3 linked regions of the Kluyveromyces lactis genome follow. The protein of the gene in region 1 purifies or fractionates together with the protein of each later gene. This does not show direct contact. Links are inferred from orthologs where the notes say so. Each region holds a gene or a part of one and is shown on either strand. Other genes may lie near its edges. The genes, in order: COP1, KLLA0_D05863g and ERV41.

Region 1 (5,701 bases):
GGCACCTGATGTAATAATCTTGAGGAATTCGCCTGCGAAATAGGATGCTAATACAAAGTTCTTGTTTTTGAATGATTGGGTCATAGCAACATTCAAAGCATTACTTCTATGCACAGGTAGAAGTTTTGTCCTGCTGAAGTATGCTGCCAATTCCAGGTTACGCTTAACGTCATTGGCAGGTAGAGCACGACGTTCTAGCTCCATAGAAAGACCTAAGATGTATTCACGAGCAGTTGCAAGTGCAGTTTGTGCTGTTGTTTCATCTTCTTTGTCAGTAACTGCTAACAAAGCTATGGCATAGATAACGTCTCGGAAGTGCTCGATAGCAACTTCCAATTTGTTAGCCTTAAATGCTTTGAATCCCTCGTTCAACTTCGTGGTGACTACAGAAACGCCAGGAACAAATGGTAGTATTTTAGATTTGTCCTCCTCATCGGCATCAGCTCGGATGTATCCAATAATTGAAGGTAATTCATTTGGTGTAGCACTCATATAAGTTCTTGCACCATCGTATATATCAATGAATGGTGTCCTGAGGGGTTCGAAGTTTACAACGGCTACCTGCTTATTCAAGGCTTGGGCAGCAGCATCAAAGGCTCCAGCGGCTACTAGAACTGCTGGAAGCTTTGAATTTTTAACCCACATTGGCAATTCTGATTCATCTACTTGTTCTTCAGTCACTTCGGATTCTTCGATCTCTAACTCGTCGTCTAATTCCAAATCATTTTGGTCTAGGTCCCAAGCATCTTCTTCCTCTCCAACAGCTTCATCATCAAAGTCTAGGTTATCTTGTTCTCCTAAATCAAACTGGCCAACATTTTGGGTAGTATCTGAAACATTTTCTTCCTTATCATCAGAAATTTCAAGATCTTCGATTTGGCCCAAAAGGGCTTTTTCAAAGAATGAGACTTCAGCTTGCTTTAACGGCCAGTTTTTCAAAGGAGCAGAAATGACAGGGGTTTTTACATTTGTGGAGGAGTTGAGTTCAGTTGGTAGGGAAATGTCTTGCTCATCAATTTCTTCGGATTCCAAAATGGAAGTGGCAAGGTCATCGTCGCCGTTAGCTTTTGCCACTGCATAAGCCAAAGGAGCAGAGCCTGCATTTAAAAAGACATTTGCACGCTTCTGAACTGAGTTATTGTAAAAGGTATTTTGAATCAAGCCGGAAATATCTGATCTATGTTCAGCAATAGACTCCATTTTTGCCAGTTTGGAGTTGTCTCCCTTAAGTAGATATAGGAAAGACAGTTTATCAAACTGCTTAGTGTTTTGATATACCAATTCAGCGATATCTGTGTTACCTTGGATCAAAGCTTCTTTGCCCAATCTTTCCCATACAAGTTCATTGTTCAATTTCTCAGCTTCTTCAAGAGCAACTGTCAAATTACCGTATTGTGTAGCCAAATCAAATCTTGTTTGAGGATCCTCCACGAATTGTAACGCAATTTCAGGATAGCCTGATTTTTGAAGATAAGATATGATGTTTTGACCAACTAAATTTGAATTTTTAATGATACGCAATACCTCAGGGAAATTTTTGTTGACTAAAGTCTTCTTGAAACGATATTCAGTAGGATCAATTGTCAAAATCTCTACTTCCCCTTCACGATTCAAAGCATAGACAAATTTGCCATGTACCTTGTTGATGTATAATGTTCTTTCTAAGGTTTTAATGATACCAGAATCACCATTCAATAGACAGTATTTGATATGGTTCAATGTTGAATAAATTAGGACACCGGTTTCATCCCAACTTGCACTCTTGATTCTAATACTTTCATGGTTTGATGTAACGATTTCCAGTTTTCTGTTTGCGATTGTCAATGTATGCTTACTCATCAATGCAACATATTGGCCATCTTGAGACCACACTGTATACTTGATGTTCTTTAAAGATAATTCATGAAGAATTTTACCTTGTTGGACGTCCATCATTACCACAGAATGAGAATATAGAATCAAAACAGTACCAGGAGCAGCTAATGTGATGTCTTTAACAGTATCAGTTAATTTGATTGACTTTGTGGTTTTGTTATCTAAACTACGAACCTCCAAGCTATTAGTGCTGCCATTGTGCACCACAAATCTGTTACGAGCAACGAAGATCGCAAAACTACCATCATCAGAGATGACGTTGCTAGCTTCAACAGCTCCACTAGGTTGTTTAGGTAAGACACATAAGCTGAACCTGTTGGCTTCCTTTTCGGAGGAGTTGACAAGGACGGAATGTTGGGATGGGTTATAAGACATACTTCTAAATGAACTCCAGGTCTTGCCGATGTTTTTCAAAGAAAGATAAGGTAGAGAAGTGATTCTCTTGTGGTAATCAAACATTTGGACTTGTTTCTCCCTGTTGATAAAGAACAACTGATTTTGGTTTATAGCAGTTGGTGGTCTTTCACGGTCCAACTTAAAGATCATAATACCAGAATCATGAGCAGCACCGAACAGATTTAGGTTTGGGTGAGCTCTCACTAACCAGAATCTGTCATTTTCTCTTTTGAACTGTTTAATTGGAGTACGCTTGTCCAAGTCCCATACTCTTACGGTTTTATCCTCACCAACTGATATAATGAGATTCTGTTGAGGATGGAAAATGACGGAATCAACGTTGTTGGTATGACCTCTACAAGTATCGACCTCCCATGCCTTTGTGGCACTCATTCTCCACAATTTCACTTGACGATCATCAGAACCGGAAACGATCAATGGTAAAGTTGGATGGAAAGAAGCCCAATTTACTCCTCTAGTGTGGCCTTCTAAAATGAACTTCACCACACAATCTCCAAATCCTCCGTCAAGTAAGTTCTGTTGCTGTCTCATTTGTTCTTCGAATGATTGAGTGCCTGGTGCGGAATGTCTTTTTCTTAGCCCTGAAATATCCCAAACTCTAACGGTTTCATCCAAAGAAGCAGAAACCACCAAATCTTCGACTGGATGGAATTGGGCACACATTACGAAGTGGTTATGGCCAGTTAAACATGCTATTTCCTTTCTGTTCTGCCAGTTCCAGATTCTGATGGTTTGATCGTCGGAACTGGAAATAATCCATGGCAATTCGTGATGGAAGAATACTGTACGAACATAGTCTAAATGGCCGTCCAATGTGAATAGACACTTGTTGCTCTCTAAAGACCATACTTTGATAGTATAATCATCACCTGCAGAAACGAAAAGAGGTTGCGTTGGATGGAAATCAATGCCACGTACCGGACCCTCATGATCTTCAAAACGGTGAAGCAAAACACCCATACGGTAATCCCATAATTGGATGGTTGATGAGAAAAGTGCTACCAGAACCCAAGGCCTAGACGGATGAAAAGCAATACCTTTCGCCCTGGTAGACTTTGATTCGAACTTAGTTAACATCTTCATGATGAAAGCAAGCTTTTCAAGACTTCGATCTAAATCTGAGTAAAAACTGTGAGAAATATAAGAAGAATAACTCGGAAGAAAACGTCACAATTGCAGTTAACAATATACCAATTGGTTACGATTGAAGCTTTCCTTCGATGGTTAGTCCTCACTGACAACTCAATTAGACGACAAAGTACCTTGATCGTTGTTTATTAGCCAAAGTCAGCTTCATTCAAGGTTCATAAAATTACTTAAAATACACATATGGCTTACTATTTTGAAATAAGATCGTGTTTTATTTGAAAAGTTGTCCTTTTTGAAAATTGGAAGAATCCGAAGAGTATGCAAAGGACGTAATGGTAGGGTAATAATTACCCGAATTTGTGCCAGACGCATCTCTACAGATTCTATGCGTAAGAGAATGCTAGAAGAGATAGCATATACGAGAGTGGTATACATAGGTCTATATATCTATACATGTATAGTGTAGATGTGAACATCTGGGCAACCTTTACTGATTAATGTAGCATATTAAGCAATCTTTTGATAGGATTTCTGTTATTGTGACTGGAACCCCCATTTGTGGTAGCATCGCGTGACTGCAGAGCGTTTCGTAGGAGCAAATCTTGTTCTTCATGATTTTTTTCCGATGGTTTATTAGTGTCTTGAATAAACCTGTTTGAAGGACTCTGATCCGGCCCATCTCCCTGCTCTTGCTTCAATTGTTTACCTACCAAAAGACTTTGTTGCTGTCTTCCCGGATTTAGGCCATTCTTGTCCAAGGAAGATAAATAAGGTAATTTGCCCTTCTTCCAAATGACTGAATCTTCAAACCACGTATGCTCATTAAACTTGTCATAATTGTAATCGTAAGTAATATCTAACAATGAATTAGCATCAATAGGTAAATGTAATCTTTCTAGTTCATCAACTATTGATGGCCAGAATTTGTTTTCGTAAGGTGTAACGGCTATTGATTCCACAGTTGCATAAAATTGACCCTTCTCAAGTATATCGGGCGAGTTTTCCCAATCAATGAGCCCTCCAGCCCACATTATGGTACCAGGGTCAGCATCTTCTCTTCCACCTGGCCACACCGACACTTGCAATCTCATTGGTGTTTGTGGATATTCGTATCTTTGTTTTTCCTCATTCCATGTATCTTCCTTGTATAATGTTCTAGCTACTACACCGTCCACAATCCAGTTGATTCTATCTTGGTCCCAATCGACTTCGTAAATATGAGTATTTTCAAAACTGTCAGAACTTAGTTCTAGCTTTTCCATCCTTGTGTGATTTAATTCACCTTGGTGATAATAATTAGATTGAGCATGATGTAATTCTCCTCCAATAAATTCAAAATCAATTTCATCACCTACAGTTGAAATTAATACCACTGCAGTAACAACTCCGCGACCTCTAGCTGTTTTCATTTTTACGGTAGCTCTACCGTATAGAAAAGATCTTGTGGATGATATTAAACTTCCCGAAGTATGTTTAGGCATAGCAAGAGTCAATTGACCAGGTGCATCGTATTTAACAAATCCACTGTACGTGAAATGATAGTCTCTTAACATTTTCTTAATGATTCGTTCTTGTGGTGATATTAGGAAGTTAGCGAAATTAACTATACCTCTATTATTCAAGTCCTTTTCTCCACCTTCATTCGATGCAACGTCCATACTGGGTTGTACTCTAGGCAGAAAGCTACTTTTTAGAGCAGGTTTTTGCTCCAGTGAGCTTTGCAACCAGAAGCTAGGCGACATTCGTGGTAATAATGCTGGTTGTCCTAAGCAACTACCTGGATCGTGAGATAATCTTGGGTTACAACCTCCAACACAAAAAGGACCCGTACCGCATTGTCCAAATTGTGAGCAACATGGCCATTCTGCAGGACAATTATTTTCAAGAGAGCAGCCTATTGGAGTTTCTGGGAAATACCTAGTAGCTTCTTGTGCTAAAGTTGAAATTGTGCAACAGGAAATCCATAACAAAATAGTAGAAAGCATTGCGATGCTAGTAACCAATTTCTGCGTTTTTTTTGTTTATGAATACAGATACAATTTGAGGTGTAGTAGATCAAGACAAGCTGCCAATGATAGTGTCATTGATCACGGATGTAAATTCTTGAACATGATAGTCGTGATTTTTAGATCCTTCTCCTTCTGCTTTTATAGGTTGGCTTGATTTCTCATAATTTGACGTGCGACAATCTGTTGCGAAGAAAGTAGAAAATTGAGTGACACAAAACATTAGATTAAGATCATTCATTTAGCACAAGATGTGATTTCTTCAAAAGAGCAGCTAGTCTTTAACGAAATATTTGATTTTTGGAGTGTAAACT
Region 2 (6,897 bases), on another chromosome or scaffold:
GTTGATGAATTGATGAGTAAGTAGCCTCATTCCCAGCGGTCATCTTTTGGAAATAGTTCACTATCCCACTTTCAGCTTCATTGAGGGAATCATCGTTTGCATCTGTGGTGGATAGGTTGCAAAACTTATAAGCGTACGGTTTCCACTGATATTGAAATTTTTTCGAGTTGGCGAAAGTTGTACCAACACCGTTGCAGTATTTGATAAAACCATGGTTCAATAAATCCTGACCAAACAACTCTGCATGATCAATGTCCTTTAGAGACATGTGTGTCATCAAAAAAGCAACGATTTCACTACCACTGTTGGTGTTTTCGATGGTAAAAGAGATGAAGGGAACTTTATATTGATGCTTTGGTAGCTTTGTCAATAAAAGTTTCAAAGTTTCCTTTATACCCTTATAATCGTAGTCAATACCACCAAACACACCAAATTTCTGGTATTCCTTTTCTTGCAACACCTTGGCTTCATGTTCTCTCTGCAGATCTAGAGATTTCATAGCGTCAGATAATTCATCTTCATTGAATGTAGATCTTTTAAAATCCTCGAGTAGTCTACATTTGTTCAAATAGGTCTGCTCCAGTTTCTCAACAAACCCTTTTGACTTAAGGAATGATCTCGCATTTGTTTTCAATATCTTTTCTGAATATTGTACTCGTTGTTTATGTTCTTGTCTCCACTTTGTAAAGGGACCCAAAACGGTCATCTCAATGGTAGAGGCGATCTTCAAATGATGGTTACCTTCCTCCACCATTTGCCCAATCATACCCGCTAGTGACGAGTTACATGTAGAGTCTAATGCATCGAACTCATCAACACCTTTGTTGATATTGCACAAGTGTCTTCCAAACTCAACTTCATACTGCATTCTTGAAGCGAAAAGCTGGATAAAAAGGTCATTTTGATCACAACCTTTATGCAACTTCCCAAAGAGCGCTTCAATCCCACTTATAAAATCCGGAGACCAAAAGCTCTCCGCAAATGATGGCATTGGTATCGGTCGAGGTTGCTGGATGGACCTTTCATCTTCTTTTACTATGTTGTCATCTACGTTTTTAAAGGTTTCATAAGTCTTGAATTTAACGGTTTAAAATTAGATTATCGATTCCTCAAACTGGAACTGTTAAATTTGGAGAATGTAAATACATACACTCATACATAGCACCAAAATTTGAAGTAACATCATATGTTGAGGCAATTTCATTGACAGATAGTTGGTGAATAACTCAAGGTATCTATTTTATTACTTTTCAAACAGATGCCATTCCCCAAAGTTTCAATTGTATTCTGCACTAAATGTAAATGGAATCTCCGGAGTGCATGGTACGTCCAAGAACTTCTACAAACGTTTGGATCTGAATTGAAAGAGATTTCATTGATTCCAGGCGAACCAGGCGAATTCAAAGTTCTTGGATACCAAACGGAAGGTTCTCAACCGATAGTAATTTGGGACAGAGTCGTGGACGATGGATTTCCTGACAGTAAATATTTAAAACAACGGGTAAAGGCTCTTATTTTCAATGATGAAGTGGCCATAGGGGCCCATATCGACAGGAAATCAAAATCTTCCTCGGCTAAAGAAACTCTAGTATCGGAAAAGATCAATCAATGCTCCACAGATGATCAAAATACGTCATGCAAAGATTGTGAGACATAAATAAATGTTACAAGAACTGAAAATCTACCTTTATAACGAATAACTGTAATTCATAACTATATAAATAACTAATACAGGATCACAAGTACATTTTTAGGCGGCTTGAAACGTTGCAGTGGTAAGCTCATGTAATTCTTTGTGTTAATACTAAGTCTTGTCATATTCCTTTTCTTGATATGAAACCCGAATTTTGAATCGAATCAATTATGGAAGAAAATAAGTTTATTGACGTTCTTTTAACAAACGAGAAGGAACCTACAACCCTTGTTGAACAAGTATTGTGAATTGGATATTGCTCTTGTTATTCTATTGTAGAGTGAATTCAATCTTAATAGTGTAGGGCAGCACACATCGTTTGAAACAAAAGATGTTTGTCCACTGGTTGGCTGTATTGTTCGCATACATTACCGTTGCAAATGCAGCTGCAATTGCAGAAGCGGAATTACATGAAAGTGCCGTGTCTGATAACGATATACTAGATGCCAGTCATTCTTTACCTGATTTGGTTCACATGAATGCCGTGCCTTCAGATTGGAAGACCAGCGGAGGTTTGGTTTTGGAGGAAGGGAGACTTCGTTTAACACCAAGTGCATCCAGTCAAAGTTCGATTTGGCACAAGACTGATTATCAAATTAAGGACTCCTTCACCATAGAATGGACTTTCAGAAGTGTTGATTTTATAGGGAAATCTGAAGGTGGGTTGTCCTTCTGGTTAGTGGAGGGTAAAAGTGCAGGAGGAACTTCTTTATTCGGTGGACCAGAGGCGTTTGATGGGCTTCAAATTTTGGTGGATTCCAATGGGCCCGTGGGTAGTTCTGTTCGTGGTATCTTGAACGACGGGTCTAAGAAATTGACTGAAAAAAATGTGTACGATCATTCTTTTGCCTATTGTTTGTTAGCCTATCAGGATACTACTATTCCAACCACTATCAGATTGAGTTATGATAGGAAGAACAATAACCTATTGAAACTTCAAGTCGATAATAGGGTGTGTTTCCAAACCAGACAAATTCAATTCCCACAAAATGCGAAAATGAAGATGGGTATCACTGCAAAGAATGATGCTAACAAGGAATCATTTGAAGTCCTGAAGGTACATACTCATAACGGTCTTACTAAAGAAGTTACAATTCCAAATGTTAACCCTATGGAACAGCCTAGATTGGTAACAAAGATTATCAACAAGGATACTGGTAAAGAAGACGTTGTAGAAACAGATTTCATGAAAATGAAGGGTTTAGCAAATAAGGTGGACAACTACGAACTTTACAAGAAATTGGATAAGATTGAGGGCAAGATATTAGCCAATGACATCAGCGTGATAAACGGTAAATTAATTGGCATCTTGGAAAATCAAGCAGCGCACTTGAGAAAGCTAGAATATCTATCAACTACTTTAGAAGTTATTGTGGCTTCAATGGGTAAAGAAGGTGAAGTAAATACAGAATCCTTCAAGGACCTCTTTGTTATGAATGATAAGTTGGAGCAATTACTTCAGGATCAAGCAAAGATTAGAGAGGCCACCAAACAAAGCATGGAAAATGCTGGAAATGGCGTTTCAGTTGACGAAATCGTCAAGAGACTCTTAATGTGGATTTTGCCTCTAATACTAATCGTTTTAGTTATGGCATACTACACTTTCAAAATTCGTCAAGACATTGTTAAAGTTAAATTGTTATAATGAATTATCCTCTATATATATCTGCAGCTTTATTGCATAGCTTTCTACTAGCAGTATTTAGTTCGATATAGATGAAGTTGCATTATTATTCTAAGGTTTTTCAACATAAGGTGGCCTAAACCCTGACACATTGGAGTATCCCAAAAAATTTGGATTCGGTACTCGCTTAACGGTACGCTTTTCATCTACATTCTTCGTTTCGTTTGGCACAATGCTCACATCAACATGGTTCAAAACTTGCTGTAGATATTGCTCTTTGTAATACGAAAGTTGATCCTCCGTAAGGCCAACAGGTGCACCGGCCTTATACTGCCAAAATTTAGTCCAACGGGTGTTTCTTAACTTTCGGACATGGCCAAGAGCTGTATTCAAATGAACAACATCATGGGATCGTTCTAAATCTTTTATTTGGTTTGGCGTCAATAGTTTTAACCTTGCAGGAAGTCTCGCCTTATTATATATCGGTAACCCTCCAGCACTGAAAGTTGTAGGTAACTCATCATTTGTTGTAACTGGTAGCTGCGTAAATTTCCATCCAGGAATTTGAGCCAACACATCTGTCTCCTCCGGGGGAACATAGTTAGCTTTACGTCCTCTACCAAAGTTATGAGATTCTACCGGGTGGGTGTGCGTTCCAATCGGGGAATCTAGAACATTGTGTTGTTGAGCAGCGGCGAAGGAATTCTTATAGTGGTATTTTGGAATTTTGTAAATAGTACTCAACTCGATTGCTCCATGTATAGTTTGACCCGATATGATTGCAGTTTGCTCACCATGAGCAATATTACTTAAGAACTCTTTACGTGCTTCTAAAGGCGGTAGTTCCGTAATGGTTGAAAACGGGTCTTCGAATTGCGGTTGTGATGTGGACATAACGCCCGCTTGTGCTTGCTTCGATTCAGGAAGCTCAGGTGGACCTAAAGAATGTGCTGTTCTAGTCCTTGGATCGATCGAACATACCATGTCGAGAAGTTTTTGAGAGAGTGCGTATACTCTGTGCTGCGCTTGGAAGCCCTGTTCTTTGGATAGTTGTTCCCAGTAATCATCTATCACTCTTGATCCGGATGCTAGTATAGCAGCTCCAAAGACAAGAAAAGCAGATCTAGCTGTGATATATGTTGCAGCAGTAGCACCTTCAGGTAAAAGTTTATACTGGGTCAAAAATTCGATAATATCATGTTTTGCATTAATTGGGTAAAGGTCTGGATGCTGAGCCAAAAACTCTTGTTGTTCCACATCTAGATTCAAGACTCTAATCAAATCCCGTACTAAGACGTACAAATTTTCCGAATTATTGTTTTCCGCACATGGATAAGTGAAAGTAGGAAACAAGTAATGCCTTTCTCCATGTAACCGTCCTTGTTTATCAACCTTCGTTTCCCCATTTTGATCACCCTTTCCCAAAACATAAGAGTCATTGTTGTCTGATAACCTTTCCTTAATGGTGAACGAAGGTAGTACAAGTTGCTTTGTTGGTGGCTTGTCAAGTCTGCCGGAGAGTAATTCAGGGTTATTGAGTATTGATAATGTGGTTTTCAAAATAAAAAGCTCATGGTTCTTTATGACATATTCTGGCACCGGATTCACCTGAGCAGTGACAGATGAGTTAGTACTGGAGTCCATTTTTCCAGCATGTGAAGATAAACAAATAAACGTATCCTGTTCAACAGCCAGAAAGGTCTCGTGGTGTTCCAAATATAATTAGGATGGATGAAAGTGTCGCAGCTTATACCGTCTATTGAATTCTTTCACGATGTACTTTGAAAGATATGCATATGTTTACGTTTATGTTAATGACAGGCATTCGATAGTTAGATTACATGTTGAAAAGACCCAATTTCAAAACAATGGAAAATACATAAAGATACTGATCACGTGATGACCAGCAACTGACACAGCAAATACCCGACAGTTAGGTTACATACAAACTAACGTATCTAAAATATAGGAATAAAACGGGATTCTTAGATAATAGTGCCGGTGGCTTCAGATGTTGGTAGTGTCATTCATTGAGCCAACTTAAGATTTGCAAGAAGTTCTTCTGAGGCCTTGATATAATTCCTGGCGTAATCATCAGTAAAATCTTTTGATGGAAGGATCGGGTTAGCATTCTTGTCAAACATGGCGCCTGAATGAGTTTCCAATTCTGGGGCAACTAGCAAGGGGCCTAACTTTTCAGCGTATTGCTCTGCAGTCTGATTTGTCATACCTATGAACCATTCTACCACTCTTGACTTCCAAGTGTCTTTACCAAGGTAATTATCTCTAATATTTGTCCTGATGAGCCCCGGATTCAACCCATAAAAATTGACAGTAGCAAACCTATTCTTAAAGTCCAAAACTAGAGCTTCATTACCGGCTACTGTTTTCATATGTGTGGAAATAGCTCCGTAAGATTCTTCTGAATTCAAATCTCTATAATCTCCCATATAGTTATCACCGGGGAAACCCATTACAAATACGCGAGGTTTTTTCTCACCATGTTCCTTCAATCTGGGTACCAAATGATTCATCATCACTAGTCGGCTGATATAACTGACGGCCAAATCTTCTTCTAGACCTTCGCTAGTCTCACGTCTCGCTGGAGGAGCCAAAACTCCCGTAGTGAAGATAAGAAGATCCAACTTTTCAGCAGGTAACAATTCCGCAACTCTGGATGCCTCTGACACCAAACCTAGGTCAGCCTGGATAAATTCAATACCTTCAACATTTTCGTCTCTGAACGTTCTACCAACAACGATGACTTTAGCACCCTTTTGTGCCAACACTCTTGCCAACTCACGGCCAATACCGCCCGTTCCTCCTACGATAGCAACATATTTATTATCTAAATTGAGTTCAATCAATTTTTGAGCCTTCGTATATACAATATCAGGATTGGTCTTCATGGTTGTTTGATGTAAGATTAGTCCGATGCAATTACAATAGATAGTTCCCCCTTGACTCTTGGTAATATTACTGTGCAAGCTGCATATCTGCAATCAACGTTGCACTAAGCTACCTTAAATAGTATCTATATATGATTTCTTCGACTTATTAGTTACGGCGGTGATCTTTTATCGACAATATGTCTGACTAATGACATTGCGATTCGTCCTGAAGATTGTGAACTGGTTTGGCTGTCAACCATCACCCCTATGAGGGGCCGGCCCCTTGAAAAACCGCCTCCATCACGTGACTGAAAGATCTCATGTAAAACTATCTTGAACCACCAATCACCGCGTATTGCATTGGTCCTACGGAGAGTTTGCTTCAAAGTAATCTCGTTCAAACTTCGTTTCCCAGATGACTGTATTCATCAACATTTGACAACACTGCGCAGCGACTGAATGTCTTGCTTGGTTAACCTGGCTCTACAGTCAGCGACAATTCCATTTTCAACAGTATGCTCAGAAGGGTGCACACAAATTGCACTGAAACAAAGTAAAGTTAGAAACATAAATAAAAAATATAAATATCAAATATAAATACGGTAAAAAGAAGGGGCGATTAATTTTGCCGTTTATGCAATAACCTTGTTTTAAGGGTATCAATGTCTGAATAATGTCATCGATAATAG
Region 3 (6,472 bases), on another chromosome or scaffold:
GAGAAGCTAAACCATTACTGTATAGATAACACAAACGGGCTAAATATAATATCCGTTCTAATTCGTGATTTGGGCTTTCAATTCGGGGTTTTATCGGAGACTAATGTAAAGATAACTGGTGATTCGTTCTGGATCATATACCAGACGTTAATCAATTCCTTCAATAAATTTTTAGAGGATGATAAAAGAGGAAACACTTTATTGAAAATGATCACCCCAAATGATCCGAACGAAATGGAACAATGGAAAACAAGACTATGGTTGATAAACATTTATGATGCTGTCAATGTTGTGTTGAAATGGACAGTAGTAGCTAACTGCATCTTAGCATCTCTATGTTTGATGCTTCTTCTTTTCTGGATGTGGATGCAAATCGAACACAAAAAGACACAAAGTCCAATCAAGCAATTGAATTGGAATATCAATTCAATCTGCTCAATAACTCGGTGTCTGAGTATTTGCAATGCAACAATTACTTTCATCTATATTCTTCACATATTGCTGCTTACCTTCATGATTAATTGTTTCCGTTACAAAAGACTACAAATTATCCACGCGTCTCTCGGAACGGGTGCATGGTTCCACATCGCGAGGTTCTTTGTGGAGCTAATATTTGCGGTGCTATGTTTCAAATGGATGACACCACACTCAGCCATGTCTGCATCAGTAATGAGCGAAACACAATCAACAGCCGTAGAAGATGAAGAAGAAAAAGATACTGAGGATAATTACAGCGCGCTAAATCCTGCTAGTGGGACTACTGCAGTCGATGGATTCCTGCTCACTGTGTAGATATGAACACTAAATATAGTCTTTTATAAACCGTCCATATATCAAGAGCTTTTCATAGGCCTTAGCGCCTACAAATCTACCGCCCTCATAGCTTCCTACTTAATCCCAAAACGATCGGCGTGTTCTCAGTATCGGAAAGTTTCCACTTCACTATCCAATATGAAATTTCGAAATTTCATGGTGAAATCTAATAGTGGAACATTTAAGTTAAGTAACTGAATTGAATGTTAAAGATGCATAAAAAACATTCAGTGTCTGTACCAGCTAACGGGCAACGGTCAAAAATTATTCTCAGCAATGGCAGGTCTTAGGACATTTGATGCGTTCCGTAAGTTCTTTTTTCTCCTATTTATAGAGGCCCCATGTTTGAAATAAAAAGGGCCTTCTCAAATTATATGAGTATACTAACATGCATACCAAACCTATGCGTTGCATTTCTTTATCACCAGCTAAAACCGATGAACAGCATGTGAAGACTTCATCCAAGGGTGGCCTTAGCTCCATTTTGACATATTTGTTTCTCTTATTCATCGCATGGTCCGAATTTGGTAGCTTTTTTGGAGGTTACATTGATCAGCAATATGTCGTGGACGACCAAATCAAGGAAACCGTTACTATTAACTTGGATCTCTACGTGAATATGGCATGTAAAAACATTAGAATTAATGCTAGAGATATTACTGGCGACCGTGGACTCATATCAGAGAACATTCAAATGGAAGGAATGCCATTTTACATCCCTGTGGGCACAAGAGTAAATGAGATGAACAATATTGTTTCACCGGACCTCGACGAAATACTTGGCGAAGCGATCCCAGCCCAGTTCAGGGAGGCTATTGATACGTCTGAGTTAACTGGAAGAGATGATTTTAATGGGTGTCACATATTTGGTTCAGTTCCTGTCAATAAAGTGAAAGGTGAATTACATATCACCGCTCACGGTTGGGGTTACCGGTCTGCCTCTGCCATTCCAAAGGACCAAATAAATTTCAATCATGTAATAAACGAACTTTCCTTCGGTGACTTTTATCCTTACATTGACAATCCTTTAGATAACACCGCCAAATTTTCGGATGAGAAGATCAAAGCATATTACTACTTTACCTCGATAGTACCAACACTTTACAAAAAAATGGGTGCCGAAGTAGATACCAATCAATATGCTTTGAGTGAAACAGAGTACGGAGAATCTAGTAAAGCTACCGGGGTTCCTGGTATCTTCATTAGGTATCAATTCGAACCCATGAAGATAATCATCAGTGATATGCGTATTGGATTCTTCCAGTTTATTATCAGACTCGTTGCAATCCTGTCATTCATCGTTTACACGGCATCTTGGATTTTCAGACTTGTAGACAAGTCACTAGTCCTAGCTCTTGGTCCTAAGTGGTCTCTTCACTATTCAAAAGATCAAAGTCCATCTCATGGGCTTTTAGATGAATAATTTATCTAAAAAGACTGATTACCAAAGAACTTTCAACTGTTATAAACCAGTTGGATAACGTAGCATAAATAGATGGTATGAAGGCATATTAAAGTGGTTCATTTTCAATTGGTTCAAATCTCTCTTTGGTTATAATTACGTACCTGTCGATAAATGCAAAATAGAAAAACAGTAACTTTTAATTATGTGCTTCACTCATGTGACTTCGACTTGATTTCATAAAACAACGATTATCAAGAGACCAATGCCTAACAACTTATCATCCCTTTCAGACACTGCTAACTATATCGACAAAGCTTCAAATGTTGATCCAAAAACAGCATCCCCTTGTTCCACGAATGCTCTCCCTTTAGACCTTCACAAATTAGCCGCCGAATGGCAGAGTGATAAGAAGAAAGAGGAGGTTCAAAGGCAAGTGTTGCAGAATGAATTCTTGAAAAGTGTTAAGGAAATCAGTAAGAGTCTGGTGAAGAATCAAAATGATAAGAGTCCTATATCACAATTAAATTGGGATCAGATGTACGACGTTTCTGCAGAATTAATGGATCAATACAGTAAGGAGATGGAACAGATCTTAGCTGAACTTGATGAGGTATATAAGAAGCATTTCATGTGGCAAGAGGCGGCATTTACTATTGATTCACATAGAGGTGCCACGAGAATAGCCAATGCTGAAATGTGGATGAAATCTAAAGAAGCATACTTACAATACACAAGAAAAGAACTCGATACTTCGGCAAAAGTCATTAAAACCACCATAGAAGATCTTTCCAAGAGATGAAAGTCATTATTTTGCTACCCTTTGTTGTCTGTCCCAACGCATTCGATCAATAATCATCAGCGCCAGGCATACCTTCAAAAATCTGACCATACATTCGGAATCTCGATCCACAAAATGAGATTACGAATCATCCGGGTTCAAGGCAATAACACAGAAGAAACGAAACGGCATCATGCAGACATAACAACTCATCTTGTTACATCCTTCCAATTTTTATACGATTGTTTCATATTTCGGACATTACTGCATATTCAAGTCCTTTTCCGGCAGGACTAATTCCAACATTTGTTTCGCTAAATACGCATCTACTTCAAATTCCATTGTTCTTCAGCAGAATTTCATTATTTCGAGCCGCTTTTTTGTTCTAGAGGCACAGTTTCATCTGCATATTCTTCCAAAAATGCTACCGTTATCGCCTTTGGTATTCCACATTGGTTGTGTTTGCCGTGCCATGCGTGCAAACAATTAGAACAAAACACTATATCATACGCCTTACAGCGTACAATGTTTCATCCAACGTATCATTAACACACCGAGCATCTCACCTAGAATATATATCACATGAATAAGGATTGTACTGGTATATTTCAACAAGGCACCTGGCTTGTGCAACGTTCCGTAGCTAATAATGTCAGCATCAGTTAATATAATCCTTCGAAGAAACCGTAGGGAAGAGCGGGAGCAAACAATGCATCTTCCAAACTATCAAATTTATCAAAAGCACTAAGGTCGATAGGATTATATGAGCATTCAGGACATCATACATTTTCAATTCTTTCCTCATCAATCATAGTATGATAAAATTCCTTCAGGCTTTCTCCACACAACAAGGCTTAGTACAGGGAAGTTTTACCATTTTAGAACCTTTTCTCTATTCAATACAAATGCAACAGTTGAAGTTCGGTCATTTCATACAACGAGATCCCTGCTCACCTTTGATGTTCAGAGAAGTATCTCACTGGTTAGCATCATGACTGGTATAGATGTTTTCTTCGCTGGTCAAAGTCGAAAGAGCAGCATGTGACAACTATCAGGAATAATTTAAACCAATGGAATTTTGTCTTCAACACACGTTTTACCAAACTCGCTTGCCATGTATTTATCTATATTTGTCATGTCATCCTGAGTCATTCATGCTGAGTTCAAAGTCAATTCCGACCCTTCATTGTCGTTTAGCTATGAATCTTTTCTTATAGTGAAAAAGAAACTATTCCCGGACAATTCGTCAACTCCAGGAATCTCTATGATATATTCTATAGTTAAGGTACCGTCTGTAGCTATCATACTAATATCTAATATACCTCGAATGTATGAAGCGAGTTATCTTGGATCAAAATTTCTTTGTGCATTCATTTCATCATTCTAGTTCTTGATTTAAGGATCTTTCACCAGAAGTCATAGAATAACTCTTACAGAACCATTAAATGATTGAAGCATGAAAAAAGCAGTCGATACTTTTACGGGCTTAGCAAAATTATCCTTCTCTCAACCCTTTGAAGTTTAGTTCTCTGGATGGGACCCTTATTCTTTTGTCAAGCCATTTAGATGTACTAAAAATTAAAGAACTAGTCAATCAAACAAAAGAAAGACACATTATTCGACAAATACCGCGAGGAGTGTATATAGTTTTTTATTTATTTATTTGTACTAATACATGATATATGAGTTTTTCATTCCAACTTGGCTTTCTTGGAAGGTCTTTCAGACTTTGAGGTTTCACCTTCTGAATCGGAGGCGGATGCTTCTGAATCAAATTCTTCAGCGACATCGTCATCTTCGTCGGACGCATGGAAATCTTCATCTACAGATTCTTCATCCTCACCTGCAGAACCCATGTTAATATCTACATCATCATCATCGCTGTCTGAGCCGAAGGCAGTCTGCAGTCTCTGTTCTGCTTCCTTATCTTCGTTCTTTACCCTCAAGTTTTTGGACCTCAAGAATGTCTCTAGAAGTTGTTGTTCCTCTTTAGAAATATTAGCAAAAGTAGTAGTACCTCTATTGGCACGCATAACAACTTCCAAATCGAATGTTCTGGCTGATGTAGATGTCTGACCAGCTCTTGAAATATTGACCGCAGCAATATCTTGGAAGGGTATATATAGGGTTGGTTTCGTCAAGAACAAAAACGCATTGTCCAATGGGTATAAGTGGCCTTCATTGACTTTGTATGAACAGGATACCGCGCATTGGTCATACTTAGACTTGTATTCACCAGGAACAATGACTCTTCTTCCTGTCAAACCCTTTAAGACATGACTTAGTACAATGTGAGTTTTAGCATCGTATTGTTTCTTTAGTTTATCCTTGTAAAGCTTTTCGAACTCATCATCTTCCACATTTAGTTGGACTTCTGTTTCCTCGTCCTTCTGGAATTGTAACACCAAGAATGGGTAGGATGTCTGACCTTGACGGATTGGTGGATCAATCGATAAAACCATCAAGTAATGGATGTCGTCAGCTTTTGGCAAAGAGAAGATTCTGTTTATTTGACGATGTTGTAACTTGTACTCATAAGTCTTACCTCTAAGTCTGATAGAGTTTTTGTAGATATCAATGTCGTAACGGCCTCTTGGCGTAGTGAAGAACAGATCCTGGAAAGAAATGATGGCATCACCAGAAATTTCACCGATATCTGCCTTAGATCTCAATTCTTCGTAGAAATATTCTGCTAAAGTCTTCTCTTCTTGAACGTCTGGTTCTTCACTACCCTCTTCCGTCTTAACCTCCGACTTAACACCGTCTTCTGCTTCTGCTTCGTCCTTTACCATGATTTGATCTTGATCTTCATTTTCTTCAACTGTGCCTGGAACATATAACCTCATTTCAACAAGTTCATCACCTGCAGGATTATATGCCTCATTTTGGGTGTCAAATTCTAATGCAATCTCATTTTTTGCTGTTAAATTAGTGTTATTGATGTGCGTGTAAGGGATTTCAAAAGTTGGCTTACCGTTCAATGAAAAAACCATTTCGTTTCTAGCTAAGTCCAATTTACCCCAATTCCAACCACGTAAAGAATGTTCCCTGTGCTCTAATTGCATGTTGAATCTACGTTGGAAGTCATTCTTCAATAGGTTGAAATCCTCTTGTTGGAACCCATCCATTTGAATCAATCCCTTATTCTTAGTACTAATTTTCAATTCGTAGCCTCTACATCCTCTACTCCATTGAACGGAAGAAACCTCATCTGCAGCCAATAGCAAAGGTTCATTATTTTGAGTAGAGGCTGACCCACCTGTAGCGGATGCCTTCCAACCAAGACCTCCTTCAGCTAGACGGAAACGTCCACCGAGCTTGGATTGGTTGTAATAAATTCTATCGAAATCTGTACTCATTCTCCACTATCCCAATATAAGAAATAAAAAGTAGGTATCCAAGACGAAGATCACTAGATTTCAGTAATACTGACCTGTCTAACGTAAACTATGGGCTAACAACTCTGCCTACCGTTA

What was found.
Region 2: the proteins of COP1 (region 1) and KLLA0_D05863g purify together in Saccharomyces cerevisiae (affinity purification with western blotting; 3 studies listed by BioGRID). This does not show direct contact. The link is inferred for Kluyveromyces lactis from reciprocal best matches to the Saccharomyces cerevisiae genes COP1 and EMP47.
Region 3: the proteins of COP1 (region 1) and ERV41 purify together in Saccharomyces cerevisiae (affinity purification with mass spectrometry; 3 studies listed by BioGRID). This does not show direct contact. The link is inferred for Kluyveromyces lactis from reciprocal best matches to the Saccharomyces cerevisiae genes COP1 and ERV41.

Annotation. Positions count from the first base shown.
Region 1 is NC_006042.1:478,308-484,008, forward strand, and holds the start of COP1 (coatomer subunit alpha), read right to left. Parts: upstream 3,376-5,701; coding exon 1-3,375. Other genes in the region: CRR1 (putative glycosylase), read right to left, coding at 3,876-5,366. UniProt on the Saccharomyces cerevisiae protein: The coatomer is a cytosolic protein complex that binds to dilysine motifs and reversibly associates with Golgi non-clathrin-coated vesicles, which further mediate biosynthetic protein transport from the ER, via the Golgi up to the trans Golgi network.
Region 2 is NC_006040.1:500,482-507,378, forward strand, and holds KLLA0_D05863g (uncharacterized protein), read left to right. Parts: upstream 1-2,024; coding exon 2,025-3,338; downstream 3,339-6,897. Other genes in the region: GTPase-activating protein RGD2, read right to left, coding at 1-991; KLLA0_D05841g (SelT/SelW/SelH family protein), read left to right, coding at 1,259-1,657; SWP82 (Swp82p), read right to left, coding at 3,429-4,961; KLLA0_D05907g (putative short-chain dehydrogenase/reductase), read right to left, coding at 5,345-6,226. UniProt on the Saccharomyces cerevisiae protein: Involved in the secretion of glycoproteins and in nucleus architecture and gene silencing. Required for the endoplasmic reticulum exit of EMP46.
Region 3 is NC_006038.1:446,015-452,486, reverse strand, and holds ERV41 (Erv41p), read left to right. Parts: upstream 1-1,089; coding exon 1,090-1,120; intron 1,121-1,241; coding exon 1,242-2,236; downstream 2,237-6,472. Other genes in the region: SMA2 (Sma2p), read left to right, coding at 1-792; GMC2 (Gmc2p), read left to right, coding at 2,481-3,017; FACT complex subunit POB3, read right to left, coding at 4,688-6,355. UniProt on the Saccharomyces cerevisiae protein: Constituent of COPII-coated endoplasmic reticulum-derived transport vesicles. Required for efficient transport of a subset of secretory proteins to the Golgi. The C-terminal Ile-Leu motif is required for exit from the endoplasmic reticulum.